3 linked regions of the Elephas maximus indicus genome follow. The protein of the gene in region 1 binds, or shares a complex with, the protein of each later gene. Links are inferred from orthologs where the notes say so. Each region holds a gene or a part of one and is shown in the gene's direction. Other genes may lie near its edges.

What was found. Proteins that work in one complex are often made in the same cells at the same time.
Region 2: ACTL6B (region 1) and DPF1 share a complex: the UniProt entries of both Homo sapiens proteins name them as parts of the neuron-specific chromatin remodeling complex. The link is inferred for Elephas maximus indicus from reciprocal best matches to the Homo sapiens genes ACTL6B and DPF1.
Region 3: ACTL6B (region 1) and DPF3 share a complex: the UniProt entries of both Homo sapiens proteins name them as parts of the BAF complex. The link is inferred for Elephas maximus indicus from reciprocal best matches to the Homo sapiens genes ACTL6B and DPF3.

The regions. Positions count from the first base shown.
Region 1 is NC_064830.1:92,064,913-92,075,146, reverse strand, and holds the start of ACTL6B (actin-like protein 6B), read left to right. Parts: upstream 1-6,467; 5' UTR 6,468-6,524; coding exon 6,525-6,549; intron 6,550-7,015; coding exon 7,016-7,092; intron 7,093-7,296; coding exon 7,297-7,462; intron 7,463-7,768; coding exon 7,769-7,869; intron 7,870-10,234. UniProt on the Homo sapiens protein: Involved in transcriptional activation and repression of select genes by chromatin remodeling (alteration of DNA-nucleosome topology).
Region 2 is NC_064829.1:113,378,176-113,387,646, forward strand, and holds the start of DPF1 (zinc finger protein neuro-d4), read left to right. Parts: upstream 1-5,514; coding exon 5,515-5,546; intron 5,547-9,471. UniProt on the Homo sapiens protein: May have an important role in developing neurons by participating in regulation of cell survival, possibly as a neurospecific transcription factor. Belongs to the neuron-specific chromatin remodeling complex (nBAF complex).
Region 3 is NC_064828.1:85,703,060-85,712,801, reverse strand, and holds the start of DPF3 (zinc finger protein DPF3), read left to right. Parts: upstream 1-5,785; coding exon 5,786-5,817; intron 5,818-9,742. Other genes in the region: non-histone chromosomal protein HMG-17-like, read left to right, coding at 4,570-4,725. UniProt on the Homo sapiens protein: Belongs to the neuron-specific chromatin remodeling complex (nBAF complex).

The DNA.
Region 1 (10,234 bases):
TGACCAACTTCCCTGAGAAGGCAGAAGCCCCTTAGCATGTGTGGAGGAACTGACTCCAGTGGATTGTTGGGACACTTTCTCCTCCCTCTGACTGTTCTTTCTCAGTCCTCTCCTTGGCCTCCTCCTCCTCAGGGCACCCTGTAAACACTGGTTTCCCAGGATCCCAACTTCAGCCTCCTTCTCTTCTCTTCTCACTCTCCATGTTATTCATTGGTGATTTCATCCATTACTGTGACTTTAGCTACCCTAGTTGCTCATAATTCTCAAACCTCCATCTCCAGTTCACATTTTTCTCCCCATATGCAGACTTGGTGTATGTCCGATTGCAGATTGAGTATCTCCATTTGGTTGCTAATGGAGTCAGCTTATGCCAGCTCATACCAGCTCACAAGAGCCGATTGTATACTTCTCTTCCCAACTCCTTGATTAGTGAAGTCATATTGGTGGTAGTAACTTGAAATCAGTCATGGTGAGAGTATTTACACCATGGAAATCAAATGCTTCAGATCAGGATTCTGCACGCCCCCAAAAAAGATCGTTGTTAAAACATTTACTACACCTCACTGCTCACAGATATCTCACACTCGACATATTCAAAACGAAATTGATCATTTTCCACCCACCTCACTCTTCCCCACCCTGTTCTTCTCTTGACCCAGTTAACACCGCCATGCACCCAGGAGCTTCCCAATGGATAGTGAACTAGTTAGAGTCCAGTCTAAGGAGCTACAACATCCACAACAACAACAAAAAAACAAACCCATTGCTGTCGAGTCAATTCCGACTCACAGCCACCTATAGGACAGAGTAGAATTGCCCCATAGGGTTCCCAAGCAGTGCCTGGCGGATTTGAACTGCCAGCCTTTTGGTGAGCAGCCTTAACTCTTAACCACCAGGATTTCCGCTATAAAAAAGAGACTCAAAAATATAGTGGCTTAAGCAACAACTCCAAAGTAGACAGACACTCCAGGACTGTGGAGGCATCTCTGTCATCCTTAACATAAGCTTCCATCTCAGGGTCCAAAGTGGCTCTAGCAGCTCCCACCATTATATCTGAATCTCATCCATTGAGAAGGGAGTTGAGGTAGGAAGTACAAGTCCTTTTTGTTTAAGAACACCACTAACTTTTACTCAGAAGTTGGCCAGATGCAAGAAAGGCTGGAAAATGTAATATCTAGCCATGTACCTAGCTAAAACATTAATAAAGAAAGAAGGACAGAGGTATTAGAGTAAGGCTAGCAGTCTTTCCTTGGAGAATAAATCCTGTCAATGCTACCTCTTAAGTATTAAATCCATCATTTCTGCGCATGCCACATACCTTGGTTTTTGCCTGTTTCTTTCTGATCAACCTTCCAAATTGTTGCCAGAGATATATTTCTAAAATGCAAATTGGGTCATATAACTTTCCCATTCAAAACCGTGTAGTAGAAGGCCAAAGCCTCTTTATGGGACACACAGACTTGGTCTTGTTCCCCCTATTCAGAATGCCTTCCACCCCCACTCCAACACCACTTCCTTATCAGCTGGAAAAATTCAGGTCATTTCCCCAGGCTTCTTTTAAATATTGCCTCTTCTGTGAAGCACTCCTTAACTTCACTGTTATTGGTGCCCCTCTGCAATGCTGGCTTCATTCCTATTGCAGCCTTTATTTATTCCTGGGCATTTGCCACCTGCACTAGGCCAGGGGCTCCCTGAGAAGCCAAGGAACTTGGTTTACCTGGCAGATGGCTGGGTGAGAGTTCGACAAGCAATGGTCAGGTCCCCACAAGATGCCAACTCATTTCTAAGCTGTAGGATCAGAGGGCCTGTTCCTGCCACCTTGGAATCATTACCAGGGGCTCAGGTTCAGCCAGTCTGAATGCGGGCATGAAATGTGAGAATCTCCAGCTGACTTTATTGAATTAATTGTTTCATCATCCATCTTCCTGGATAAACAATAAACTCTATGGATCAAGTTTTATGAGCCATTTTATTCCCAGTGCCTATTTTTTTTATCGGGTACATAGGAAACCCTGGTGGCATAGTGGTTGAGAGCTATGGCTGCTAACCAAAAGGTCGGCAGTTTGGATCCACCAGGCACTCCTTGGAAACTATGGGGCAGTTCTACTCTGTCCTATAGGGTTGCTATGAGTTGGAACTGACTTGATGGCAACGGGTTTGGTTAACGGGTTATCATTACATAGGGAACATTTATGGAATGAATAAAAGCATGACAACATTTGCCCCAGGGTAAGCATTTTTCACATGCTTTGGTTCAAATCCCAGCTCTGGCACTTACCAGATGGGTAACCTTAGGCAAGTCACTTAACCTCGCTACACTTCTGTTTCCCCAGCTGAAAATGGGTATAATAATTAGGCCGTTATTAGGATTAAATGTCTTATTATTTGCAAAGCATTTATCTTATTCGATCTGTATGCTGAGAAAGTAATCCGAGAAGCTGAACTATATGAAGAAGAATGCTGCATCAGAAGTGGAGAAAAACAGCATTAACAACCTGCAATATGCAGATGACACAACCTTGCTTGCAGAAAGCAAAGAGAACTTGAAGCACTTACTGAAGAAGATCAAAGACTACACCCTTCAGTATGGATTGCATCTCAACATAAAGAAAACAAAAACCCTCACAACTGGACTAATAAGCAATATCATGATAAACAGAGAAAAGATTGAAGTTGTCAAGGATTTCATTTTACTTGGATCTACAATCAACACCCATGGAAGCAGCAGTCAAGAAATCAAAAGATGCATTGCATTGGGCAACTCTGCTGCAAAAGACCTCTTTAAAGTGTGGAAAAGTAAGGATGTCACTTTGAGCAATAAGATGCACCTGACCCAAGCCATGGTATTTTCAATTACCTTATATGCATCTGAAAGCTGGACAATGAATAAGGAAGACCAAACAAGAATTGACACCTTCGAATTGTGCTGTTGTCAAAGAATATTGAATACACCATGAACTGCAAGAAGAACAAACACATCTGTCTTGGAAGAAGTACAACCAGAATGCTCCTTAGAAGCAAGAGTGGCAAGACTTTGTCTCACATACTTTGAACATGTTATGAGGAAGGACCAGTCCTTGGAGAAGGACATCATGCTTGGTATAGCAGAGGGTCAATGAAAAAGAGGAAGACTCTCATCATGGATTGAATTGTGTTCCCCCAAAATGTGTGTCAACTTGACTAGGCCATGATTCCCAGTATTGTGTGATTGTCTACCACTTTGTCATCTGATGTGATTTTCCTAGGTGTTTTAAATCCTACCTTTATGATGTTAATGAAATGGGATTAGCAACAGTTACTTTAATGAGGCAAGACTCAATTTAAAAGATTAGATTGTGTCTTAAGTCAATCTCTTTTGAGATATAAGAGGAGTGAGCAGAGAGACAGGGGGCTCATATACCAAGAAAGCAGCCCCAGAGCAGAATGTGTCCTTTGGACCTGGGATTCCTGTGCCGAGAAGCTTCTAGACCAGAGGAAAATTGATGACAAGGACTTTTCCTCGTGAGAAAGAACCTTGCTCCAAAGAAAGCCTTCTCCTGGAGCTGGCACCTTAACTCAAACTTGTAGACTCCTGGACTTTGAGAGAATAAAATTATGTTTGTTAAAGCCATCCACTTGTGGTATTTAGTTAGAGCAGCCCAAGATAACTCAGCCAGCCCTCAGTGAGATGGATTGACACAGTGGCTGCAACAATGGGCTCAAACATAGCAATGATTGTGAGGTGGCACAGGACCAGGCAGTGTTTTGTTCTGTTGTACGTAGGGTTGTTATGAGTTGAAATCAACTAGATGGCACCTAACAACAACCATAACCTTGGTCAAGTCACTTAACCTCTCCATACCTCTGTTTCCCCATCTGCAAAATGGGGATAATAATCACGTTATGAGGATTAAATGACTTATTGTTTGTAAAGTGTTTATAACAGTGCCTGGCACATAGTAGATGCTTTGAATTTGCTAAATAAAGGAGCTGACCTCTGATTACTTTTCCAATCTCATTCCCCACTGATGCTACTTTCTCCCACCAACTCATATCCAACCCTCCTTCTAAACTGAGCTCCTAACTATTCCCACATAAACCCTTATGTCAGAAATATTCATGTCTCAGCACTTTTGCACATGCCATTACCTGCATAGTTCATGATTCACTTCAAACTTCACTTCTAGAAGCCTTTCTGGACTCTCAGAGACAGTCCCTCCATCCTCTAGGCCTCTGTTGCACCTCATTTTCATTCATGTCTGAGCTCCCCATTGCACCAAGACTCTCTGAGAGCAAGAATCTATCTTATGTACCTCAGTATTCTCACACCTAGCATGTTCCCTGGAACACAGTCAGCATAAAAAAATGTTTGTTGAATCAATGAATGAACAAATTAAATACACTAACTACCTTCACCTTAAACACCTCCATAATAGAGTAGAATCTCATGTCAGATCCCATGACAAATGAAAACTGGCTACAGTTGACAGGGACATAAACCAATTCAGTCCTATACTTAGAAGACTGTAGCTTTTTCACCAGCCTTGAGAATAAAATTCTCTTCTCATTACCAGAGAGTCTAAAGACTTCTAACTTATGCGTTATAATATTAAAGCCTCAAAATCTCCCCAGGGACATTCTGAAGACCCAGTCTTTATGGAGTAGTCCTGTCGCCCTACTCTTAGCCAGACACTTGACTATGGTATCACATTGAGTCCTCACCACCAGGTGTTCTACAATGGAGGACAATGAAGCTTGAAGAGGAACACAGAGTTGTTATGAAACAAGGTCTTCTCTCAACTGGCTGATAAGAGGATCTAGATTCTAGTCCTGGCTCTGCGCCCAGTGAGCTGTGGGACCAAGACAAGGCCCTGCCACTATCTGAAGAAACCCCTGTAAAATCCACAGATTGGATCAATGATCACTAAAATTTCTCCCAATTGGGGCAATTTCTGAATCTGGGGGTGGGCGTGGTGCAGGGGAATTGAAAAGGTGAACTCACATGGGAGGTGAAGCAACACCATTGTCAACAGGCCATGCAGGCCATGAATCAAATTCTTTGGTGTTCTTTACTCCTCACTTCAACACTTTGAAAGATGAAGAAATGCAGGCTCTAAGAGGTTTAGGGGCTCATTCAATTCATACAGGCCTCAATTTATAGAGAGGCCAATGATTGGCCAGGGTCACTCAGGAGAGTCTCAATCTCCCAGCTCCTGGGTCAGTGCCTTCTCCCCTACATCTGACCCTTCCCACTGCAGACTGGACCCCTCCAAGCCTGGTGATCCAGACCTGGGCCTGCAACCAATCCAGGGCACATAAGATGTCACTGTTACCAGTAGGGAGCCACTAAGCCAGCTGAGATCAAATGTCCTTCTGGTGGGGAAAGGTAAGACCTCTTCCAGAGTGGGTGTCTGGTGAGCAGAAACTTCAGGGGCATTGTGGCAGTCACACAATTCCCTCTCTCTGTCATCTCCGGTCTTAACGTTCCCCCCGCCAACAAGCAGATGGAAAGGCCCTCAATGCACATGTATACGCATGCACATAAGTACACACATACACACACGTATGCACGTGCACACATATACCAACACACATAAACATGGACATACAAGCACACAGCTACACACAAATGATCATACAAGAGTCTCTGGCTAACCCAGGCTGTCAGCACTGCTCCTTCCCTTCACTATTAAAATCACTGTGGAGGTGGTGTCATGCCAGGAGCCCAGAAGAGGCTAGAAACCTCCCAGTAGAAAACCAACTTGCTTAATAAATGCCTCCAGAGCAGAACAACGGGCTGAAGAGAGAAGCCTTGGGAAAGGAAGCTAAGGCTGGATTAGCTGAGGTCCTATGTGTGAGTGGGTATGTGTGTGTATGCACACGTGTATGCGTGTGTACGCATGTGTATGTGTGTGTACACATGTGCATGTGTGAGGCCCAGGCATCAGAGAACAGGGGAGAAAAAGAGAAAGCCATCAGAAAGACAGGGGTGGAAAGACACTGGGAAAGGACGAAGACACGCACCACCCCCCCCCCCGCCCCCGTACCTCTTTCCCTTCTTCTTCCCTCCCCTCCCTCTCCCTCGATTTCTCTCAGGCCTGGGCTTTGCGGACCAGAGCTCTGGAGCAAGACGGTGGACGACTCTCCAGGACTATGGCGCCCTCTTCCCCTGTCCCCTTTAAACAAATAAAGGAGCAGGGGCCCCACCAGTCACCCACCGGAGTGCTGGTCTCCGAATGGGCGGGGTGTCCATCTCTTTACTACTGTGTGGGCCTATCTCTTATGGTCGGTCTCTGCACCCTCGCTGTTCCCCTACCTCCTCCCCTCAGCCAGATGTTGAGGAGTCTGCCCCTTTAAAGCAGCGGCCCCCGGCGGGGTTATTGTCTTGCTTAGCAGCCAATCGGCGGCGCCGTTGGGGGCGGGGGATCTGGCCCTCCGATTGGCCGCCTCACGCCCCGCCCCCGCCCGGGATCCCGGGAGCTGTCCGGACGCCTCGGTGCTGATCCCGCCGCCGCCCACGGGCCGCGAGCTGCTGAGAGGGCACTATGAGCGGGGGCGTCTACGGCGGAGGTGAGCGAGTCTCGGGCTTGGGGCTTTCCAGTCCGGCGCGGCCTCGCCCGCAGCCCTGAGGCCCGAACCTGCGCGACCCAAGCTCCAGGCACCCTGGGGCCTGTCAACTCGACGCTCGAGAGGGCCCAGCCCAGGGCTTGGGTCCCATGCCACCCCTGCCTTTAGTCCTTCCCGGACGCCTCTCGCTCTCCGGGCCAAACTCTCTACCATTCAACCCACCTCTTCAGGGACCCCAGCCCCTTCCTTCCCCGCCAAAGACAGTGGCCTGAAGAAGGCCACTCAGCAAGACGGGATTCTGGCTGGCTTGACTCCCACTCTCAGCACCCTGGATTCCAGGCTGAGCTCCCACCTGCCCCTGCGCGGGATGAAGGTGGCGAGACTGTGGCTCTGCCCTGACCTCCTCTCGGAGGTGTCCAGGCAAGAGAGTTTGGAGGAGGCCCCCTCACAAGCCTGTCTCCTCGCACAGATGAGGTGGGGGCGCTGGTCTTTGACATTGGCTCCTTCTCAGTCCGCGCTGGGTACGCTGGGGAGGACTGCCCCAAGGTGAGTCTTCCAGCTCCCTTCCCAAATCCTAGGGGCTCCGGACTCCCCTCCAGGCTTTACAGTGACCTAGGGCTCTCACAGACTCGCAGAGAAGCTCTGCAGAGGGAAATGTGGGCGTAAACCTCTGGCGGGCTGAGGGCCTTGCAGTGGGGCAGGACCAGGGCAACAGGGTGATCCTTCTCCCTGCCCATCCTCCCCCCTCAGGCTGACTTCCCCACCACGGTGGGGCTGCTGGCCGCGGAGGAGGGGGGCGGGCTGGAGCTGGAGGGGGAGAAAGAGAAGAAAGGGAAGATCTTCCACATAGACACCAACGCCCTGCACGTGCCTCGGGATGGAGCGGAGGTCATGTCGCCCCTCAAGAACGGCATGAGTAAGGGGCCCCACCCACTGCCTCCCAACACAGACCCGGAGCTCACTCCCCACGGCCCGGGACACAGCACCCACACCCACGGAGTACTCCTTACAGCTGCCCAAGTCCCAGTGACCCCTCACTGTTTCCCACAGCTGCCTGGTTCCCAAACCAGGGGCTGCCAGATTCCTGGGAAAGAGGCTTTTCTGCCGGAACTGGTCCCACTTCCCTTCCCCTGGACTTGGCTTCCTTCCCTCCTCTTTCCTTCCGGTCCTCTGACCGCTGCTTGCCCTCCACTGTCTCTCCACGCTGTTCTCCTGGCCCCAGTCGAGGACTGGGAGTGCTTCCGTGCCATCCTGGATCACACCTACAGCAAACACGTCAAGTCTGAGCCAAATCTGCACCCAGTGCTCATGTCCGAGGCGCCGGTAAGTGCCTCGTCCAGCTCCTAGTCGGGCCCTGAGACCCAGGCGCTTCCTTTCCGCCATTCAGCTGTCACCTCAAGTTGCCCCCATCAATCAAGCCACCTCCTCCCTTTTTAGGCTTTCCTTCCAACCCCATAGATCTTCAACCATTTTTCTTCCTTACTGCCTTAGTCTTCATTTCTCCTCATCCCGTGCTCTATCCACTTGCCCTTCCCCCAACCAGCCTTATCTGCGGCCCTTTCCCCACCAAAAGTCCTTTTTTGAACTTTTAACTTAATTTTTTTTAATTTTGATTGTGTTTTAATTGAAAGTTTACAAATCAACTCAGTCTCTCACACAAAAACTTATATACACCTTGCTATTTTTTTACGTACTCCCAATTGCTCTCGCCCTAAGGAGACAGCCAGCTCCGTCCCTCCACTCTCTTTTTTGCGACCATTTCACCAGCTTCTAAAACCCTCTACCCTCTCATCTCCCCTCCAGGCAGGAAATGCCAACATAATCTCAAGTGCCCATCTGATCCAAGAAGCTCACTCCTCACCAGCATCCCTCTCCAACCCTTTGTCCAGTCTGATCCCTGTCTGAAGAGTTGGCTTTGGGAATGGTTCCTGTCCTGGGCCAACATTAACTTAATATTTTTGTCAACCTTATGTATGCTCATAAAGAGTCAGTTTGCTTCATAAAGTATGTTAAGAAGAAAACTGTAGTTCCTTCCATTTCTGCTTTTCCAACGGGCATAGCTTTTATCTCATTTAGCTAAGTCTTTTGGTATTTCCTTTCATATCTCTAAATATCATGGTTAAATTGCTGCTTGTGAATATTTTTTTTTTAGTTTTAGACATTATCTATGAGCTTCCCACTACAGGAAATTAGTATTTACTTCTCTTTCCTTCCCCAACCCACACCACACACATTTCTCATTCCCCACCTTTATATATAGTTGTATTTTAGTTTTTTTTTTTAAGGTCAATATTCAGTGTTTACACTTTATTACAATGTATGGTAATAAGGATTGGGACAGGCAATAAACCATGATTATTTTTCCTTTCCTGAAAAACTTTTTGTTTTTTCTAGAACTGAAAATTGTCTTGGTTTTTATTTTCCTTAGTTTTTAATCTACTTATTAATAACATGTCCCTAAATTATTCATCAGTAATCTGTAACTCCTCTCAAGACATTAATTCCATTAGGTAGTCTATCAATTTCATCATCTGGAAGACATCTCTCCAGGAGCCCATTGACCTGCTCCACTTTGGACTAGTAACCCTTTACACATGGGACATAGGTGTCATCCTGGCATCTTTCTTCACCATCATTTTGAGGAATTCTTTTTCTTCTTTCCTGTAGTAGAGGTCCATTTTCTGTATCCCATGATTTTTTCTCTTGATTTACTCCCTTGTTTTTATGGAGCACAACCTCCAGTAGCTTTTTTAGAAAGATCATGGGAAGTAAATTTTTTTTGATACCTTGCATGTCTGACCTTGGATTAATAGCTTGGTTAGGTATAAAACTCCAGGTTGGAAATAATTTTTCTTCAGAATCTTAACGACAACTTTCCATTATCTTTCAGCATATGTTGCTACCATTGAGAAAGCTGAAGCCATTGATTCTTGATCCTGTGATGTGATACTGTTTTCTTTCTGAAAGTTTATAGAATCTTCACTTTGTCCTCAATAGTCTATAATTTCACAGTGATATGTATTGATATGGGTCTATTTTCGTCATTGCTCTAGGCATTCAGTATGTCCCTTCAATCTGGAAACCATGTCTTTCAGTTCAGTGAAAAATCTAAAAATTACCTATTTGACGGTACATTTCTTTCAATTTCCTCTGTTCTCTCTTTTGGGAATCCTGTTACTTGGATTTTTTGCCCCCTAAACTGGTCCCATTATTATTATTTTTAATCTTTTGTCTTCTATTTTCCATCTCTTTATCTTTTTGCTCTAATTTGCAGAAGTTTCCCTAAACTTTACTTCCAACCCATCTATTCAGTTTTTCATCTCTGCTCTTGTAGTTTTCATTTCCAAGAGCTCTTTATTTCCTGTGTGTCACTTTTTTTTTTTACTGTGCTAAAAACATATATAACAAAACTTTTGCCATTTCAACATTTTTTCATGTACAATTTAATGACATTAATTATGTTATGCAACCATCACCGCTATTTGTTTCCAAGTTTTTTTCATCACCTTTAACAGAAACTGAGCTTCCCGTAAGCAATGACACCACATTTCTCCCTCCCCTCAGCCCTGGTAACCACCAATCTGTTTTCTGCCCCTATGGACTTGCTCATTCTGGATATTTCATATAAATGGATCATGTAATATGTGATCTTTCGTGTCTGACTTACTTCACTTAGCATAATGTTTTC
Region 2 (9,471 bases), on another chromosome or scaffold:
TCAGCACACCTAAGTTCAAGTCCAAACCAAACCAAACCCGTTGCGGTCAAGTTGATGCTGACTCATAGCAACCCTACAGGACAGAGTAGAACTGCTCCATAGGGTTTCCAAGGAGCACCTGGTGGATTTGAGCGGCCAACCTTTAGGTTAGCAGCCGAGCTCTTAACCACTGTGGCACTACAGTTCCCCAGAAACCCGTGTTGTAACAAGCCCTCCTGGTAATTCCGGTGCATACTCCGACGTTCGAGGAATGGTGTTCTACCTGTTCATTCTCTGTTTTCTGCAGCATAGATTAAAAACCAAAACCAAAGCCGTTGCTGTTATGTCAATTCTGATTCTTAGCAGCCCTGTAGGACAGAGTAGAACTGTCCCATAGGGTTTCCAAGGAGCAACTGGTGGATTTGAACTGCAGGCGTTTTGGTTAGCAGCACTATATCAGACAATGTTCAGCGGCTATTCATGGTTTTAACTGGCCAGTTCTTTCAGAAGTAGACTGCCGGGTCCTTCTTCCTAGTCTGTCTCAGTCTACAAGCTCCACTGAAACCTGTCCACCAACGGTGGCCCTGCTGGTACCTGAAACACCAGTGGCATAGCTTCCAGCATCACAGCAACACAGTCACCAGAGTACGACAAACTGACAGACAGGTGGTGGTCATAGAAAGACTTGGGAGTTTGCTAAGGATGGACTCCAGCATCGGCCTTCAGGGACACTGAACCCACAGGACAGGGGTGGGCCGGGTGAGTGGGTGGGCAGGGGGATATTTTCACGGTAGGCCCGAGGGGATGTGGACACAGGAAGTCAGCAAACCCCCCTCAGAGGACCTAGGCTTCAGGTGTTGGCTTTTGAGTCACACCTGGTCTGAATGTCAGCGTTCCCTGCCCTGTGGGTGCCGGCTTTCGGTGAGAACTTTGTCCATCTGGGCCTAAGTTGCTTCGTCTGCAATACGGAGGTGCTGATTCCTGCTTCCTCTGGGTGGTTTGTATGAGTCAGTGATGCAAACCTTGCAAACAGCTCAGTGTAGGAAGAGCTAAATAAATTGGACCTTACTCACTGTTGTTGCCGTTGTCCGGGTATTGTGAGCCCCACCGCCCAGCCTTCGCCCTTCTGGACCTCCCCATTCCCATCTGGGCAGGAGGCGTCTGAAGGCTATGGCTGAACATCCGAAGGGGAGCTTGGGGGGGCTGTATTCTCTGAGTCTGTGTGGGGAGAAGCGAGATGCGGTGGGTGTTAGCAACACTGCCCCTCTCTGAGGTTCCAGCTGGGCCCCAAGGAGTCTGGAGCAGAGGGTCTCCCAGTGATTCTGGGTCCACAGGGAGGTTAGACCGTGGTGACCAGGTTCCGGGCAGGGTCTGAGGCCCAATGTGGGGCTTAGTGTCTCCACCGGGGACCGACCCCAAGCCTGCCATGTCTCTCAGGCTCTCAGGATTCCAGTCTGAGAATTCTGGAGCAGCCTCTGGGGCACAAAGACTAGAGCCACAGTGCCCTCTGGTGGCCACATCCTTGGTCTCAGGGTTTGGGAGAAGGCCCAAAGACTGGGACTTCCAGGATCAGCGTTGGCCTCCAAGGCTGAGTAACAAGATTAGGGATCAGGACCCGAAGAGGTCGGGACAGGAACCCTGCCCTGTGAGGTCAGAGATTTAGAATGCTAAAGGATTCACAAACAGTTCAGCCGTCCCCTCCTCTAGGAAGCCCTCCGTGACCCCCAGGTTAGGTCAGGTGCCTTCTCTGGACTCCCACATCCCCTTTTATTTCCCCCACGCCAGGCCTGATCCCTCTGCCTGTGCCTCCCTCATCCCAACCCTGACCCCTCTGGGCTGTTGTTGTCTGCTGATGGGTCTGTTGCCCCACTAGATTGTGACCTCAGGACAGAACCTGGGGTTGTCTCCATCAGGGGGTGTCCCTAGCATGATCACACAGGGCTGTGGTCCATAAACCAAAAAAAAAAAAAAAAACCAGCCAGTTGTCAGGTCTGTTCTGACCATGGCAACCCTAGAGCCCTGGTGGCACAGTGGTTAAGTGATATGGCTGCTAACCAAAAGGTCGGCAGTTCAAATCCACCAGTCCTCTAGGATCGCTATGGCTGTGGATCTGTGGTCCATAGCACTCCAGAAATTAGTGAGTGTGCTTAACCTTCCCCTTTGAGCTTCAGCTCCAGGCCCTCTGCTGGGCAGGATTCCTTGATAGAGTTCCCCTGCTTCCGTTGTCCAGGTCTCCATGCATGGGAGCGCACAGCCTGGGTCACCTTGCTCTCACCCCTCACCAGTTGCACGCCTCAGGGCTGGACACTGGGCATAATGAGTAATTGGTTTCATTTATTTATTCAACAAATACTAAAGAAAACAACAACAACAACCAGTTGCAGTCAAGTCGATTCTAACTCGTAGCAACCGCACTTGTGTCAGGGCAGAACTGTGCTCCACAGGGTTTTCAGCGACTGTGATCTTTCAGGAGTGGACGGCTGGGCCTTTCTTCTCAGTGCCTCTGGGTAGATTCGAACCATCAAACTTTTTTCTTCTTTTCTTTACTGTGTTTTAGATGAAGGTTTACAGAGCAAATTAGTTTCTCATTAAAGAGTTAATGGACGTATTATTTTGTGCATTGGTTGCCAGCCCCGAGATATGTCAACACTCTCTCCTTCTCGACTTTAGGTTCCCCATTTCCATTTGTCCAGCTTTCCCGTCCCCTCCTGCCTTCTCGTCCTTGCCCCTGGGCTGGTGTGCCCACTTAGTCTTGTGTACATGGTTGAGCTCTGTGTATTATCGTTTGTTTTATGGGCGTCTCTAATCTTTGGCTGAAGGGTGAACCTCAGGAGTGACTTCAGTGCTGAGTTAAAAGAGTGTCTGGGAGCCGTACTCTTGGGGTTTTTCCAGTCTCTTTCGGACCAGTAAGTCTGGCCTTTTTTTGTGAGTTAGAATTTTGGTCTACATTTTTCTCCGGCTCTGACCCTCTATTGTGATCCCTGTCAGAGCAGTTGGTGGTTTTAGCTGGGTACTCTCTGGTGCTGGACTCGGGCTGGTGGAGGCTGTGCTAGCTGTGGTCCATTAGTCCTTTGGAGTAATCTTTCCCTTGTGTCTTAGGTTTTTTTCATCCTCTCTTGCTCCAGACGGGGTGGGACAAGTTAGAACCACCAAACTTTGCAGTTAGTAGCCCAGTGCTTAACCGTTTGTACCACCGAGGGACCCCATTTAAAAAACAGCACCTACTATCCGTCAGGCCCTGTTCTAGTCAATGTGGAGACAGCAGTGGATGGGACAACATCCCCACCCTCACACAGCTGATATTCTAATAAATGAAGACAGACAATAAACCAAGTAACCAAATAGATACAGGACATGATGATGGGCTATGATAAGTGCTTGGAAGAAAAGTAAAGTAGCTAAAGGGGCAGAGCTGTAGGGGATGCAATGTTAGCTGGTGTAGCCTTTGAGGAGGTGATATTTAAGTAGAGACCTGAATGAAGTGAGTGATGGAGCTATGCAGGTACCTGGGGAAGGAGCTTTCTAGGCAATGCAAAGGCCTTGTGGCTGAAGCAGGCCTGGACTATTCCAGGAACAGGGAGGAGGCCAGTGTGGCCAGAGCAAAGTTAGTCAAGGGAAGAAGGAGGGAAATGAGGTCAGAAATGTGATGGAGGTTCGGGGGGATTGAGAAGGCCCTTGAGGGCACCGTGAGGACACTGCATTTTATTCTAATTGTGAAAGAGGCCGTTGGAGGTTTTGAGCTGGAGAGTGGCGTGCTGTGATGTGTGTTTTAGGTAGCCTGCTTTGGCTGCCATGGGAAGAACAGACCGGGAGCAGGGCCAGAAACCGACGATGGAGCCGCTGTGATAGTACAGGCGGAAGACAATGTGGAAAGGACCAGGATGGGGGTTAGGAAGTGGAGAGGGGTGGGTGGACTCTGGATCCATTTTATGAACATAGAGATGACAGGATTTGCTGATGGACTTCCAAAAGAGAAAAGTCCGGATGATGGATTGCACTTAGAGCAAAATCCATTCTCTGTATAATGGCCTACGAGGCCCTACATGATCTGGGTCCTTTCTCTCTCCCCAACCTTGTCTACCCCTTCGCTCACTCTGCTTCAGCCACACTAGCCTTGCTGATCTTAGAATGTGCCAACCTTGCTCCCACTTCAGGGTCTTTGCATTTGATGGTCCCCTGCGCCTGGGCATGTTGTGGTCCGTTAGTCCTCTGGGCTGATCTTTTCCTTGTGTCTTTGGCTTTCTTCATTCTCTCTTGCTCCAGATGGGGTAGGACCAGTTCGAACCACCAAACTGCAGTCAGTAGCCAAGTGCTCAACCGTTTGTGCCACCGAGGGACCCCATTTAAAAAAATAGCACCTACTATTTGTCAGGCCCTGCTCTAGGCACTGGGGAGGCAGTAGCAGATGGAATAACATAGAGGTGACATTCTAATGAAGAAAACCAACCAAAACAAACCCATTGGCGTCGAGTCAATTTCAACTCATAGCAACCCTACAGGAGAGAGAACTGCCCCTTAGGGTTTCCAAGGAGCACCTGGTGGATTTGAACTGCCGACTTTTTGGTTAGCAGCCATAGGTCTTAACCACTGTGCCAGTAGGGTTTCCTTCTAATGAACAGAGGCAGACAACAAACCAAGTAACCAAACAGATGTATGATATGATGACAGGCTATGATAAGTGCTTGGAAGAAAAGTAAAGTAGTTAAAAGGGACAGAGTTATAGGGGATGCTATTTTCAGCCGGGGGGGCTTGCACCTTCTCAGGTTTCAGCTCAAATGCCACCTCCTCACAGAGGCCACCTTCTGCTCAAATCAACCTGTTTTGTTTATAGCACTCTCTCTCTCTCAAATGATCTTATCTATTTCTTTTCTTGTTTATTATCTGTCTTTCTTCAGTAGAATGTCAGCTGCTTGAGGGCAGCGACTTTGTCCGCTTTGGTCACTGCTGTATCCCCAGCGCATACAAGAGTCTGACATCACTGAATGAACGAACGAAGACATCAACTAACCCCTGTGCTTGACGACAGCTGGCTTACACAGAAGAGGCACCTGGACCAGCAGATACAGACAAAAATACACGACAGACTCGGGTCACCCACAGACTTGGGGAGGCCCAGAAGTGGAGGACCACCTGCGCCAGCGCCCGAGATGCCTGGAGGATGGGGAGCGCGAGTCGGGGATGGAGCATCCCCAGGGAGGGGGACTGAGCCTCTGGGGGGCGAGCCCCGCCCCGCCCTGTATCCCCAGCAGCCAATGGGCGCGCAGTCCTCCCGGCGCCCCCTGGGACGTGTAGTCCGGGCACGGGCGCCCTCGGGCGCCGTTGCGCGCCCCTGGACTCCACGTCCCGTCGTGCGCCTGGAGGCGCGGGGATTGGCCGAGCCCCGCCCCCGTCCCGCCCCGCTCGGCTCGCGCCGCAGCCCCAAGAATGAATGAAATCGTAGCGCGCTGGGCGGCGGAGCCGGCGGCGCAGGCCGGGCTGGGCCCGCGCGCGGCGGGAGCGGCGCCCCGGGCCGGAGGCGGCCCCGCCGAGCGGGCCATGGCCACCGCCATTCAGAACCCGCTCAAGTCGTGAGTCCCCGCAGCCACCCCCGCCCCCGCCCGGAACCCTCCCAGGAGCTCTTCCCCCACCCTCGCTGGGGAGGGGTCGCAGCGCGCAGACCGCGGTTCGAGGCCCCCCCAGCACGTCCCCTGCCCCTGGGGGCCCGGCGCCCCCTGTCGCCCCCTGAGTTACGGGCGGGAGCCCCTTCGGGGCCGCGGGGGCGCCTCTTCTTTGTCGCTGTCAGTGAAGGAATGTGGCGCGGGCTGGGGGCGGGGGGCGGAGGCCGAGTTTCCCCACCCAGGGAGTTAGGGGCTTCCCCCTCCTCCACCATCTGTCTGGGGCCCCCCGGCTTGGGTCCCGACCTCGGTCTCCGGGGTCTCCACCGTTCTCTTTCCCCTCATCAAGGCGCCTTTCTCTCTTTCCTCCCTCCTTCTCCCGGGTCCCGGGCTCAAGCGGCTGCAGGGTGGGGGCTGAGGCTTCGGGGGTCCCCGGTTAGATCCCCGCTGCATCCCCCTTTTCCTCTCCGGGTCTTAGGCCTGGCCCAGGACCAAGAAGCCCCGACACTAAGGTCAGCTTAGACCGGAGGATCCCTTCCCCTCCTCGCCCATACACATCTAAAGGGAGCCTCCGGAGGGGGTGCTGGGAGCGCCCTCGCCCTCCGGGGATCCCTTCCCTTCCTCCCTGCCCGCGTCACTGCTTGCAGCGTTAGGTTTCTCCTGTGCCCAACGCCGTGGAGCCGGACGCCTGGGTCCGCGCCTAGCTCCCTCTCGTCCCTACCCCTCCTTGCCATTGCTCGCTCTCTCCGCCTCTCCTCTTCCCTCTTCGGGATCCCGGACTCCCGGGTCCCGGCATTCCCCCCTACCCGCGCCCCTTCCCCAGGCGGTGACAGCGGGCTCGGAGTGACAGGCGCGGCCGCTCCCGTCCTCCCTCTCTGGCAGGCGGGCGCAGCACTCCCCTCCCCCTCCTCGGCCTGGGAGGAGGCGGGGGGCGAGCTCCCGCGGCGCCGCACAAAGGGGCCGGGACGACCTCCCCCACCCTTCCCCCAACCCCGCGCTCGCCTCCTTGACCTTGAGCAATGAGTGCAGTGGGCGGGGGCGGGGCGGGGGGCGGGAGGAGAGGAGAGGGAGTGACCCCGAGAAGGGTGGCGCGTGGTGGCTGGATCAAAGGGCTCCCAGTCGCTTCTGGCAGGGGGAAGTTGGGAGTGGAGGGTGCGTAGGGGGTGGGAGCTTATAGGCACAAGCCGTCAAGTGTGGCTTGGTGAGGGCCAAGAGGGCTTGAAGGGGGTGTATGGGGCCGGGGTCAGTGTGCTATGGTGTGTGCTTCCTTTCCACCCACACCTGCACACACAGGCAGATGCCTCTCCTACGAGGGACACCCTTACACTAGTTGGGAACAGGGTTCCCGTGCCTGGTGGTGGATTACAGGCATCCTGGCTTCTGCGGGTGCCTGGTGGCCAGAGTGTGTGAGGCGGGCGTGCCAGCATCCCTCTCCGCTCTCCCCTTCCCAGGGGTCTGCACGGGTGAGGGTAGGGACTCTCTCCTGAAACAATATGAGAGTCAAATCTCCTTGGGAGCAGGGGGCTGGAGAGCGAAGCCCTCGGGAGTTCAAACCCCAGCTTGAGCCATTAATGCCCTCCCCGCCTCCAGCCTCAGTTTTACCATCCGTGAATTGGGGCGCATAATAGTTCTTTTGGAGCCCTGGTGGCGCAGTGGTTAAGTGTTTGGCTGCCGACCAAAAGTTGGCAGTTTGAATTCACCAGCCACTCCTTGGAAAACCTGTGGGACAGTTCTACTCTGACCTATAGAGTCATTATGAGTTGGAATCCACTCAAAGGCAACCGGTTTTTTCTTTTTGGTTTTATAGTTCTTTTTAACTCATGGGGCTGCTGTGAGGCTTAAATAAGGTGGTATTTATGAGCACTCAGTATAGCACCTGACCCCAGCTAAGTGTATGATTATTAGGGGTGATATCAATACTGGTTTCTATTGCGTCCAGCTCCCATACAGGACACAGAGGGTTGGGGAGGGGAGGACTGTTTTTGGACAGGGGAGGGACTGTGGTGTTCAAGTGTGTAGGAGAGCACGTGGGAGGGGTCTTTGGAGGTGACTTAGGGTATGGAAGGGGAGACGTCTTTCCAAGTGGCAGCCTGGCTCTGTAGGTTCAGATCCTGTTGGTGCACCTCTGGAGAGGTGATGGGTGTCTACGTGCGCAGGCTCCCCTGACTCAAACTGATGCAAGGTTTCTCATGTGAGGTGAGGGTGAGCTGGGTGTCTGAGATTGGAGGTGTGGGGGAGCCAGCGTGAGAGGGCATGCTGGTGATCTGTGCAGGGGGTGAGAGGTGAGAGAGGAAGGTGGTGGCAAGGGCTCCCTCTGAGGGGGCAGGGCTCACTGTGGAGAAGGTATCTGGGGTAGCCACTAGAGGGGCCTGGAGGCCTGAGTGAGTGTGGAGGTGGGGTGCCAGCATCTCTCACTTACTTCCCTTGTCACCTACTCTGGGTTAGGTGTGGAGCAGAGACCCCAATTGGGGTTATGTGGGAGGGAGGAGCAGTTTGTGGAAAGGATCTAAGAGGAGAGGTGCAGGGGTGTGTGTGGAGAAGTGATGGTGGGAGGGGGCATCAGGTTACAAAAGAGGCGAAGGCTAGAGTGCCTCCCCCTGTCTGCAGGAGTGCCCCCTGGGGGATGAGTGTGTTCGTGGGCATGTAGGACCACCACTTTTTCATCCCTGCAGCGGCTCCCTGGACACAAACTCTGAACCAGGCGGGCAGTGGGTGTGCGTTTGAGCGTGTGTGTGTGTGTGTGTGTGTGTAGAGGCTTGGCACGTGTGTGTGACCAGGTGGGTCAGTTCACTTTCTGGGAGTTCCTCAGGGTGGAATCTCTGTGAGTGACAGTGGGAGGCAGAAGGGTGTAAGGCCCACGTGAGGATGGGTGTCTGGATGAATGCACCGTTTTCTCAGTCCCACCTTCAAACAGCCACCAGGGACTGAGGGTTGTGTTATTACAGGTTTGTAACTTCTCTCATTTGGAAGATGGGGACATTAATAGTATGGCCCCAGAAGGTTGTTATGAGGTCAAATGAGTTAACCTCTGTAAAACACTTAGGACTGTGTCTAGTGTTACAGTCGCTGCTCAGGAAATGTGTTCTTTCAACAAATATTTACTGAGCATCTACTCTGCCTGGCAGTATTCTTTCTAATAATGATTAGTTTTTGCCAGTTTATATCTTAGCACATATCAGATCCTCCGTGAAATGGGTGCATTTATCGAGCACTTACTACATGCCTAACCAAAAAACCAACCAGCTGCCACTGGTCAATTCTGACTCACGGCAACCCCATGTGTGTCTGAGTAGAGTTGTGCTCCCTAGGTTCTTTCATGGCTGATTTTCAGAAGTAGATTGCCAAGCCTTTCTTCCGAGGCACCTCTGGGTGGACTGAAACCACCAACCTGTTGGTTAGCAGCCGAGCACATAAACCATATGCACACTCAGGGCCTCTGCTACCTTTTACAACACTTTGCCTGTATTTACTTATTTTCCCCCATGTTTATTCATTTAATCCTCACATCCGGCCAAGGAGGCATCACTCTCATTTTACAGATAAAGAAACTGAGGCTCAGAAAATTTAAGTCATTCGCAAGGTCATGTGGCCAACAAGTGGCAGAGCCAGGATTTGAACCCAGGAGGTGCGGCTGCCGTCCAGCCTGTGGAAGGGGCTGCGTGGGGTGGGGTGGGTGAGTGTGGTTGGGGTGAGAGACAATCCCGAGTGGGGTGGGATAGGGATCCTTGGAGCTAGAAGGGACGGGGGGGGCAGTGTCACGTGTGTGACAGCGGCCGTACGCAGGCTGGGGGAAGTCTGTGTGGGCACCTGTAAGGTGCCCCTAAGTCTCTTGGTATGATATCTGTGTGTGAGCATAAATGTACGTGAGTGCAGCTGTGTGAGTCCGTGCGAAGGTGTG
Region 3 (9,742 bases), on another chromosome or scaffold:
AAACGAATGAACCTCTGCTGGTGTTCACAGTAGGCACTCAAACACCCAAGAATGTGTCCATTGGGAAGATGGGCACCAAGCCAGGAAAAGGAGAAAAGCTGGAGAGGCCGCTTTCCTTTTTAAGTTTCGTCAAGTAATTGCTCTGCTTGCTTGTAGGGTTGAGCCTACTATCTTTATTCTCTCTCCAGATGGATGGGGAGAGCTTCTTGAGGGTTGTTTCCATGTCTGGGTTATTTTTGTTTCGCCACCTGTGCCTAGCACAATGCCTCCCTCATAGAAAGCCTCCAATGGATGAATGAATGAATGAACTAAGTTAGTGGAAACAGCAAACATTGCTTTCTATTTCTGACTCTCCCCAGAGATATGTGGCTTCAGAGGCCTGGCCCTGGGAGCATCACCCAGACCTGGAACTTGACATCTTTGTTTTTCTGTGTTTAGAGATACTGTGAAGGGAGTGAGAACCCCTGCCCCCACAGCGCCAAGAAGACAGAAAATCAGGCTCTGTGCATATTTAATTTTTATTGACATTTCAGCCACTCTTACATGTACGATTCAGGGACATTCATTATGTTCTCATGCAGGCTGTGGCTTTGATGCCCTCTTTTCTTCAAAAGAGTTCCTCTTCAGCTCAGAGTCTAGAATGTCCCAGAGCTGGTTCTGGACCTCAGGGAACCAGCCATGGCCAACCAGCTGCTATGGACACGACTGATTGTTCTGTGGATGGATGGAGGGATTGAGGGTGAGCTTGGTCTTATTTTTCAAATACCCACTGGACTCGAGACTCCTTCAGCTCTCAGAGCCCACCAGAAATTGCATTTATTTCAGATGGCTTTTGTGGGCATACTTCCTCTTTCAAATGAACTCTTTGGGTGTTTGTGAGGCCTTTGTCTCCTTTCTCATATTTATCTTTGAAAAGTCAGCTGGAAAGGTCAGCACTTGCTACACAAGTGCCATTCTTCTATATTTCTGGATGGGCATCTCCTCGTAGCTTTGATTGTCTTCGGAAACAGCCTTCAACTTTTTAGGAGTAAACCGAGATGGGTGCCCCTGTGGTTCAGATGCTTGGGTCCTCAGTCACAACCCAAATGTTCCTTTGGATGGGTGCACTGAACACATACTTGAGCTGAGTGAGGGAGTTTTGCTAATTGACACGAAGGATGAATTTGAGAAGGCTACAAGGGTGAAGGTGGCTGGGTAGCTTAAATGGTTAAGTGCTTAACTACTAACCGAAGGTTTGGTGGTTCGAATCCATCCAGAGGCACTTTGGAAGACAGGCCTGGTGATCTGCTTCTGAAAGATCACAGTCTTGATGACCCCATGGAGCAGTTCTATTCTGCACACATGAGGCCACCATGATGACAACTAATAACGACACAGGGTGAACTAATATGATTGAGAAAGGCCCATAATTCTTTCCTTGGTCATACACACTGTGTAGAGCAGCTCTATTTGATAAAAATATGGTGTGAGCCATGTGTGTAATTTTTTATTTTCTAGTATCCACATTAAAAAAAAGTGAAAAGAGGTGAAATAGGCTTTTATATTTTAACCCAGTATATATAAAAAATTAGCACGTCACCATGTACTCAATATAAAAATTATTTATGAGGTATTTTACTTTCTTTTCTGTACTAAGTCTATGAAATCCAGTGTGTATTTCACATTTATATTGTTGTTGTTAGCTACCATTGAGTCAGTCCCCAACCTATGGTGACCCCATGCATAACTGAGCAAAATGCTAGCCAGTCCTGCTCTATCCCCACGATCGGCTGCAGCTCAGACTGTTGTGATCCATAAGGTTTTCGATGGCTGATTTTTGGAAGTAGATCGCCAGGCCTTTCTTCCTAGTCACCTTAATCAGGAAGCTCCAGTGAAACCTGTTCAGCATTGTAACAACACATCGTAAGCCTCCGCTGACAGACGGGGTGGCTATGCAAGAGGTGCATAGGCTGGGAACTGAACCCCAATCTTGCTCACGTCAGGTGAGAATTCTACCACTGAAATCACTCCTGCCCCCATTTTACATTGATAACACATCTCAATTCAGACTAGCTGCATTTCAAGGGCTCGATAGCCACATGTGGCTAGTGGTGCCCATATTGGACAGCACAGAACTAGACTCTCCAAGTGAAACAGGAAAGTGGTTATTCTGTACTAGATCTGCCCTCCAAATTAAGCTACCTAAACTAAATACAGATGAAAGGGCTGTGGTGGGAAGGAGTGTGTAAATGACTATCAACAGAACTTTAAAAATGCAGTTTAAAAAGTGTTCTGATAGTCTAATTAGCAAGAGGACATTTTTAAGTTTAAGTTCTATGACCCCTAACTGAAAAATTTCTGTTTATTATTTTTTTCTCATCAGAATGTTCATTTGCTCATCTTGCTTAGACCAATGAGTTCAAAAAAACAAACTTAGTGAACAGTTTCACCTCCTGTTGTGCCCTTTTATTCAGATACCCTACATTCCTATGCCATCAGGAAATGATTAATATCTATGGGTGGGTATATAAAAATAATGGAAACCCTGGTGGCATAGTGGTTAAGTGCTACGGCTGCTAACCAAAGGGTCAGCAGTTCGAATCCGCCAGGCGCTCCTTGGAAACTCTATGGGGCAGTTCTACTCTGTCCTATAGGGTCACTATGAGTCGGAATCGACTCGACGGCACTGGGGTGGGTATATAAAAATAATAGTCGACATTTATGGAGAGAGCCGCCCGAAGTAGGTTCTATTATTATCGCCACTTTTCAGATGAGGAAGCTAAGACCTTACAGTTGCTAAGTAAGCTTACCCGGGATAACCCAGCCGATGAGTGGTGGACTCAGGCAGGCAGATTCCAGAGCTCACACTCCTAGCCCTACACAGCCCTCCTTCACAAAACTAATGTAAAATTTTACATTCTCCAAAATTGTTCAAGGCTTTTTTCACCTTTCAACATGTCCACTAAGCCCTCTTGCTTTTCAGAATTCTGGTAAAAACATGTTTTTGTGGGAGAGGTCCGTACATTTTAAGGCCTATTTGGGAAACTGGCAGATGGAAACTGCCTTATGGGAGAGAGATCTTGATCTACAAGATGAAAACCAAAGTTAAAGATCCCAGGGTGGTACACACGGTTAAGCACTCAGCTACTAACTGAAAGGTTGGCTGTTTGAACCCACCCAGATGTGCCTTGGAGGACAGACCTGGCAATCTGCTCTCAAAAAGGTCACAAACTTAAAAACCCTGTGGAGCAGTTCTGCTGTGCACACACGGGTTGCCATGAATCAGAATCAATATGACGGCAACCAGCAACCACATCTATCCTAGAGAAACACAGTAAAATATACACAAAGAGATCTGTTAAAAAAAAAAAAAGTTAAAAATAATAACTCTTACAGGTCTTAGAACTGATAAAAGATGAATTCACAATTCTGTTTATTTAAAAGTCATACCTGCATTGACAGTTAAAATGACATTCCCTTGGGTAACAAAAAGCAAGGATATCCTACTTCTAAAAAAAAATCCTACCGTTGTTAATTCATGATTCTTTTCAATTCAATCATGAAATGTAACTTAAATGTTTAAGCTCTGGGTTAAACATTTTTTCAAAATGAAGGCGGATCTGGTCTGCCATTTTCAAGTGTGCCGGGTAGTTAGGAATTATGTTGGTTTCTGCAGCTGGGCCTTAACAGAACCAACTATATGCACATGCTCAGAGTATATACTTGCCATGTAGATTTTGTTTTTCTTTACTTTTTCCATTCAATTGGAAGTCCAGTTCAGGGCAGACTCTACACCTCCTGCCTTTATACAGCTGGATAGATTAAAATATGCTGTTTTTTAATCCAAATTGTTGTGGTTTCAATCCGAATCAAAGAGATTGGTGGGAGTTATAACTGTTAATTCAAACTCACTGAGAAGACTGAACTTCTTACATCAGAGTATATAGTACTGGTTTTTAATGATGTCAAGGCCCATTCCAGGCAAAGTATAAACTTTTGAACTAAGCCCTTGGCAAATTAATAAGGAAGAGATTTTTCAAACTTGAATTTGAGAAGACAACTTTTTCAGACTGTAATCTCTTCTAAGATGCTGTACAAAAAGTCACAAATGCATCCGTGTAATTTTACTATTAACTAGTAAGAAAAAACAAAAACCAAATTGTTGCCGTCAAGTAGATTTTGACTCATATCGACCCTATAAGACAGAGTAGAACTGCCCCCCAGGGTTTCCAAGGAGCGGCTGGTGGATTCGAACTAAGGACCTTTTGGTTAGTAGCATAACTCTTAACCACAGGGCCACCAGGGCTCCAGTCAGAAAGAAGGAAGTTAAAATATTTCAAGTCTATTACAAACATACTGATTCAGCCATTTCTATTCATCTGTAACTCTAATAGTGTATGGAACTGAACTCTGAAAGTTCTGGAAGGTTTATTTTAATTTTTAATTCACTGCTTTGAGAGGAGCCCTGAGAAAGGAAGTGAGAGGGCACAGCTTTAAAGAACCGGCAATTTGGCATCTCCTCAGCCCCCTTGTCGCCCCTCCCCCACTATTTTAGCTACTTGACCTGATTAAACAGCTTTGGGACTGTAGCCAGACTTCTGTATGCTAACGAGGCCCCTGCCCTATTCACGATTTAGTGCGATTTCATCCACCCGGAGCTTCCAGGCTGCCCAGTCTGAGCCTGACTTCTCAGAAGTCTCCCAGTTTTGTCAGAGGCTCGCCAGTGAGGAGTTCACACCAACTTGAAGCAGACAGGGACTCTCTGAACGCCTCAGGCCACACCGGATTATTCATTAGCAAATTCTTTTCGCCTTCTATCTAAATAGGAAAGGTGACGCCTGAATCGCCTGTGCCACTCCCGGAAAGGGACTCTAGGTCTACAACACCCAATCTACAGTCTACAACTCGTCTTCAAGTTACTTGCTTTCCAGGCAGCAGAAGGCGTTTCCAAAAGTTTCCCTAAACCTCCCTTACCCCTAAGCCTAAAGGTCACAGCGCCAGGTCCTCCTCAACTCTCCAACCGGCTGGAATGTGATCATTTCAGAAGTTTCTGGTGTAGGGGGAGAACAGAAAGGGTGGTAGTGGGGAACCGCGCAGTGTGACCACCGCGCGTTATGTAACGGAAGCCCTGGCTGCAGGAGTGAGCAAGCCTGACATTGAAACATTCCAGGGGGAGGGGAGTTGCTGTCCGGGAGTCGCCAGGAACAGCAGAGGCAGTTGTAAGACACTGAGAGAGGAAGGTGGCCGAGCTAAAGAAACCATTTTGGGTATTGGAATATTAAAAAACCGCAGGTCTCAGAGTATTAGCAAACGGCAAGACACGTGTAGTAATTTGACAAAACGGGAGCCTTCCAACTTTTGCACGGGAACGAGTAGATTTGCCCTTTGGGGGATTAAAATTAGCCAAGCCAAAAGCTAATGGATGAGGTTCAGTAGTTTGTTCGCAGTATTTAAATAGTTATGCTCAGGAGCGCAAACTCTCCGCAGTTATTTAGAAAAGCGGCGACTTAATCCAAACTACAATACTCTACCGAGTGCGTCTCGACTTTCCCCAATCCGAAAAGGAGTTGCTCGCGCGGTACTGCCCCTTTAAGACCTGCTCGCTCTCCGGCTCTACAAAAGGGAGTGACCTCTGGGCTTTGACAGCTCCCCTAATAACTACCACCGCGCAGGCCCCGCCCACCTGGCGGCCAGCCGCGCCGATTGGCCGGCGGGCCGGTATCCCGTGCTCTGATTGGCCTGCCGCTTCCCCTGAGCGAACCTTTAGAACTCTGAGACAGACAATATTCTGTTACATTGTAGCAAAATGGCGACTGTCATTCACAACCCCCTGAAAGCGTAAGTAAGACCAAAAAATGTACATATTCCGCGTGGTTTCAGTATGAAAAAAAAGGCGCCTTCTCCGTGCGGAGCGCTGCCAACGCACTGCGCTTGCAGGCGCCTCCAGCCGCGGCAGGGCTTCTCTCTTTTCTTTCCGCTCTGACTTCTTCATCTTTTTTTTTTTTTTCCCCTACGCGTAGAAATGTCAGGAGATGCAATTAACAAGAAGAAAACTGTTACATTTGTGTTTTGCTTAATTGGTGGACAGAGCGAGAGGGGGGTGATCGGTAGGGGAGCCAAGCGCCCGCGCGCTCGACAGCTAGGGGGATTGTGGGCAGCGAGGGGACGGCAGGTACCCCGGGTCCCCTACTGAGCGGGGCGGCAAGTGCGTAGCTGGGGGAGGCCGAGCTGGGGGCGCGAGCCGGGCAGTGGCCGCCTCGGTGCACTTGGCTGCGCCCCACGCCTCCGGAGCCGGCGGCCCCCGCCTGGCTGCTCCGTCCCCTCGGGCCAGCGGACCGCGGCGGCTCCGGAGTTTGCAGGGCGCTCTCTGCCTTCCGATCGCTCGCGGGGAGTTTGTGCAAACCTTCCGGAGTTGGGAGGACCGCGGGGGAAGCCGCAGGTCCCGGGAGCTCTGGGGCCCAGGTGGCTGCCTGGGGCTTTCCTGCGGGGCCGCCCCCGGAGCATGACGGCGCTCCGGGCAGTCGCGGGCGCGTTTGCGTATGTGTTTGTGGGCGAACTGGCTGTAGTAAATTAATGACTCGGGTTGACTTGGGGTTGATTCGGAGGCCGGGAAGCTGCAGGTCTTAGGAATGGTGTTCTCATCTCCTCTGGGTGAAAAGGCGAGGCGGGCGGAGAGGCGGCTCCGGGCTCCCCGCCCCAGCAGGCAGCGTTTACTCCCGGCCAGAGCGAGGGGCAGGTGCCTCTGGCCGCCGCCGAGAGACTTTGTGCAGACGCCCAGATCCGGGACGGAGGGGGCGGGCTGGGCAAGGGCACGCGGGGGCCAGTCCCCGGGTTCGACAGTTAATTCCTGCCTGCCTTCCTTCCTCCCCCTCTTCATCCTGGCTTCCTTCCTTCCTTCCAGTCGGTCGAACTGTTAAGCCGCCAAGTCCGCTTGCGATCATCGAGCCGGGGGTGGCCTCGAGAACTAGCGTCGCTCTTAAAAGGGTGCTGTTGGAGGCTCCCTCGGGTTCCTAGCGCGACGTGGGTTCGGGGTCCGTGCGCATTTGATCAGGACTTCGGCGCCCGGCTGGAACCCGCCAGCGAGGGGAGGGGGGGTGCGAGTGGGGGCGCTTCGTGTTCAATTCTCTCTTGTGCGCGGCCGAAGCGGACCCCGGTTCTTTCAACTCCGCGCATCAGCGTCCGCTCCCCCCGCCCCCCCCCGGGGCTCCTCACGGAGTTAAAAGCCAGGTTCCTACCGGGGGGGTCATAGGGGGGCTCCTAAAGCGAAGAAACGCTCGGGGAGAATCGGTCGTGTTTGCACCAGCTTATCTCCCACTAGCAATAAGGAAAAGGGGTAGGAATGTCCCATGTCTAGGAGTTTAAAATATATATATTGAGTGCGGCCGTTAAGAGGACTTTGGAAGCTGAAGCTGATCCGAGAGGACCTCTCGGCCTCGGTTCTTGCACGGAAGCTTGGATATACGGCTCTTGAACGTTACAGCGTTTCACCCAAGAAAGAAAATGTTTTATGGCAGAATAAATGCGCGTAACTTCGCCGCATCCACGCTCCTCGCCTGCGCGGCTACGCAGCTGATGCTGGGAGTTTCTACCAAATCCACAGCAGATTTGCAGTTTTCCCATTTCCAGCTGAACTCACATAGCGGGGCTGATACCACCTGGTAAACTCAAGTTAGAGAAATCTGTTTCACATGTGCACCGTGTTGGTTTCCTATTGGAAAAGCGGTGCTCTTGTTACCCCGGAGCCCGCTTGCTTACGCGCGGGCGCAATATTTCCCGGTTCCGCGGTTCCCCCTGCTTGCTCTAGTTTTTTTTTTTTTTGACCACTGGATGGTGTGTGTTTTGAGGGGGGGGTGTCTGTGTTGGGGTAACGTTAGGGGTGGAAAAAGGGACGGAGAGGCGGGAAGAGGGTAGCCGAATTCCGGCTGATCAATGGAATTAGTTCTGAATTATTATACTCGTACTTTGTGTAATTAGAAACAGTTGCAATGTGATGTATTTGTAATTCTGTGTCTCGACACACGCGCACATTCTCGCATACACACAACACCCCTGCCTGCTTTTTCTAGGTGGGAGTTGCATCCCAACCCCTTTCCCTGGGGGTGAGGGAGTGTAAACAATGCCGGGACCAGTCTAGCCTCCTGCACCCTGGACGCTTTTTAAACTCCTAACGCCAAGAGCACACACGCTATCATTGGGAGACCGACACCATCTGCCTGTATTTTTTTCAAAAGCAACTTGTTTAATAAAACATCTTATATATTTCATTTGTTTTTAAAAGTTGCTGATCAGGAAATAATACACACGTGAATCAATTATGCATGGGATAAATTAGAACAAAGCGTAGAGCCCGAGCCACATCAATCGGAGGGGATGGATTGCAGTGCTGGGAGGAGGGGGAGCGGGGAGAATGGTTTGGAGAGCTCTGTTTTTATCCTCACGTGTCCCTCCTGACAATGAAACGGAGCTGAACGACATTAGCATTTTCTCTGTGCGTTGTGAGTCTGTCTCCCCCTCCCTTAAAAAAAAAAAAAGCCAACATCACCGACGCCCCCTACAGAAGCTGGTTACACAAAGGTTTCCTCTGGGATTGGAGGATAAAGTGGTGGTTGGTAAATGTGCTGGGAAGAAACAAGCTCAGGTTTCATGCAACACCTCTGTAGGGCTCTTTTTACCCTGAGTATGGGCCATTTTTTCATTATACTAGCTTTGTGCATGTGGGACATTCAATAATTCAATGGCTGGGGTAACTGGATGACACTGTTTGGGTCTCCTTGCTTTGGGGTCTTCCTTAGGGCCCTAATGTCCTGAAGCCACATCTCCTGTTTTAGCAGTTTGGCTTTCTTCCTGCCTGTCTTTGATCGCCCTTCAACTCCTTTTTTTATTCTTCCTTGTTGTACCCGTCTTCACCTTCCCCTCTGAAGCTGACAGCCTACCTTCTCCCTCTGTTGTTGCCTTTAACATCTTATTACAGCGCAACAGGGTGTTAGAGGCAGAAACTGGAGCTGCCTAGGCTGATAAGATCACAAAGGGGACTCCGCAGGTGGCCCCACAACTGAGCAGTCACATCTGGACAAATAGAATTTAAAAAATTGATGGGCATGTGTGATGTGTAAATGTATATTACACATTATTTAATTTAGCAGCTACATTGTCTAATCCTAGATGTGTGAGACCCTTATTTCCTACACACATATGCATGATAAGGGCTGTGTAGTGAAGCAAACACATGCAGGTAACATAAATAAGGATTTGATATAGCACTTTGTGTCAATCACATCGTATATTCGTATTCTCACTGCCTTCTCCATTAAGGAGCCTTAATGCTTTTTAATATAAATTCTAATCTTATTTAATATTCCAGTTCAGATAAATCAGCTTTCAGCACTTTAAGCAACTTACTCTTTTATTAAGTTATCAAAACCCTGGTTTGTATGCACTTAACTGGGAATGTCTGCCACCTTCTGCCAGACTTGATTATGCATGTATGTATCTATTATTGTAACTGCCTGCTTAGAAAAAGAATAACGGTTATTATTATTTAATTATTCTATATAGACCAAAAGGGCTTTACCCCAGATAACTATTTATTTATAGAGAATAACACCAGTAAACGAATTTGGCATGCTTTTAACTGTGACTATACATATACATAATTGTATTTTGAACTCGCTTTCCTAAACATTTAACCTTGCTTGGAGGTATGTGTTCTTATCCCTGTTTTGTAATCAAGGACACAACTCTGGGAGAAATAAATATACTTACT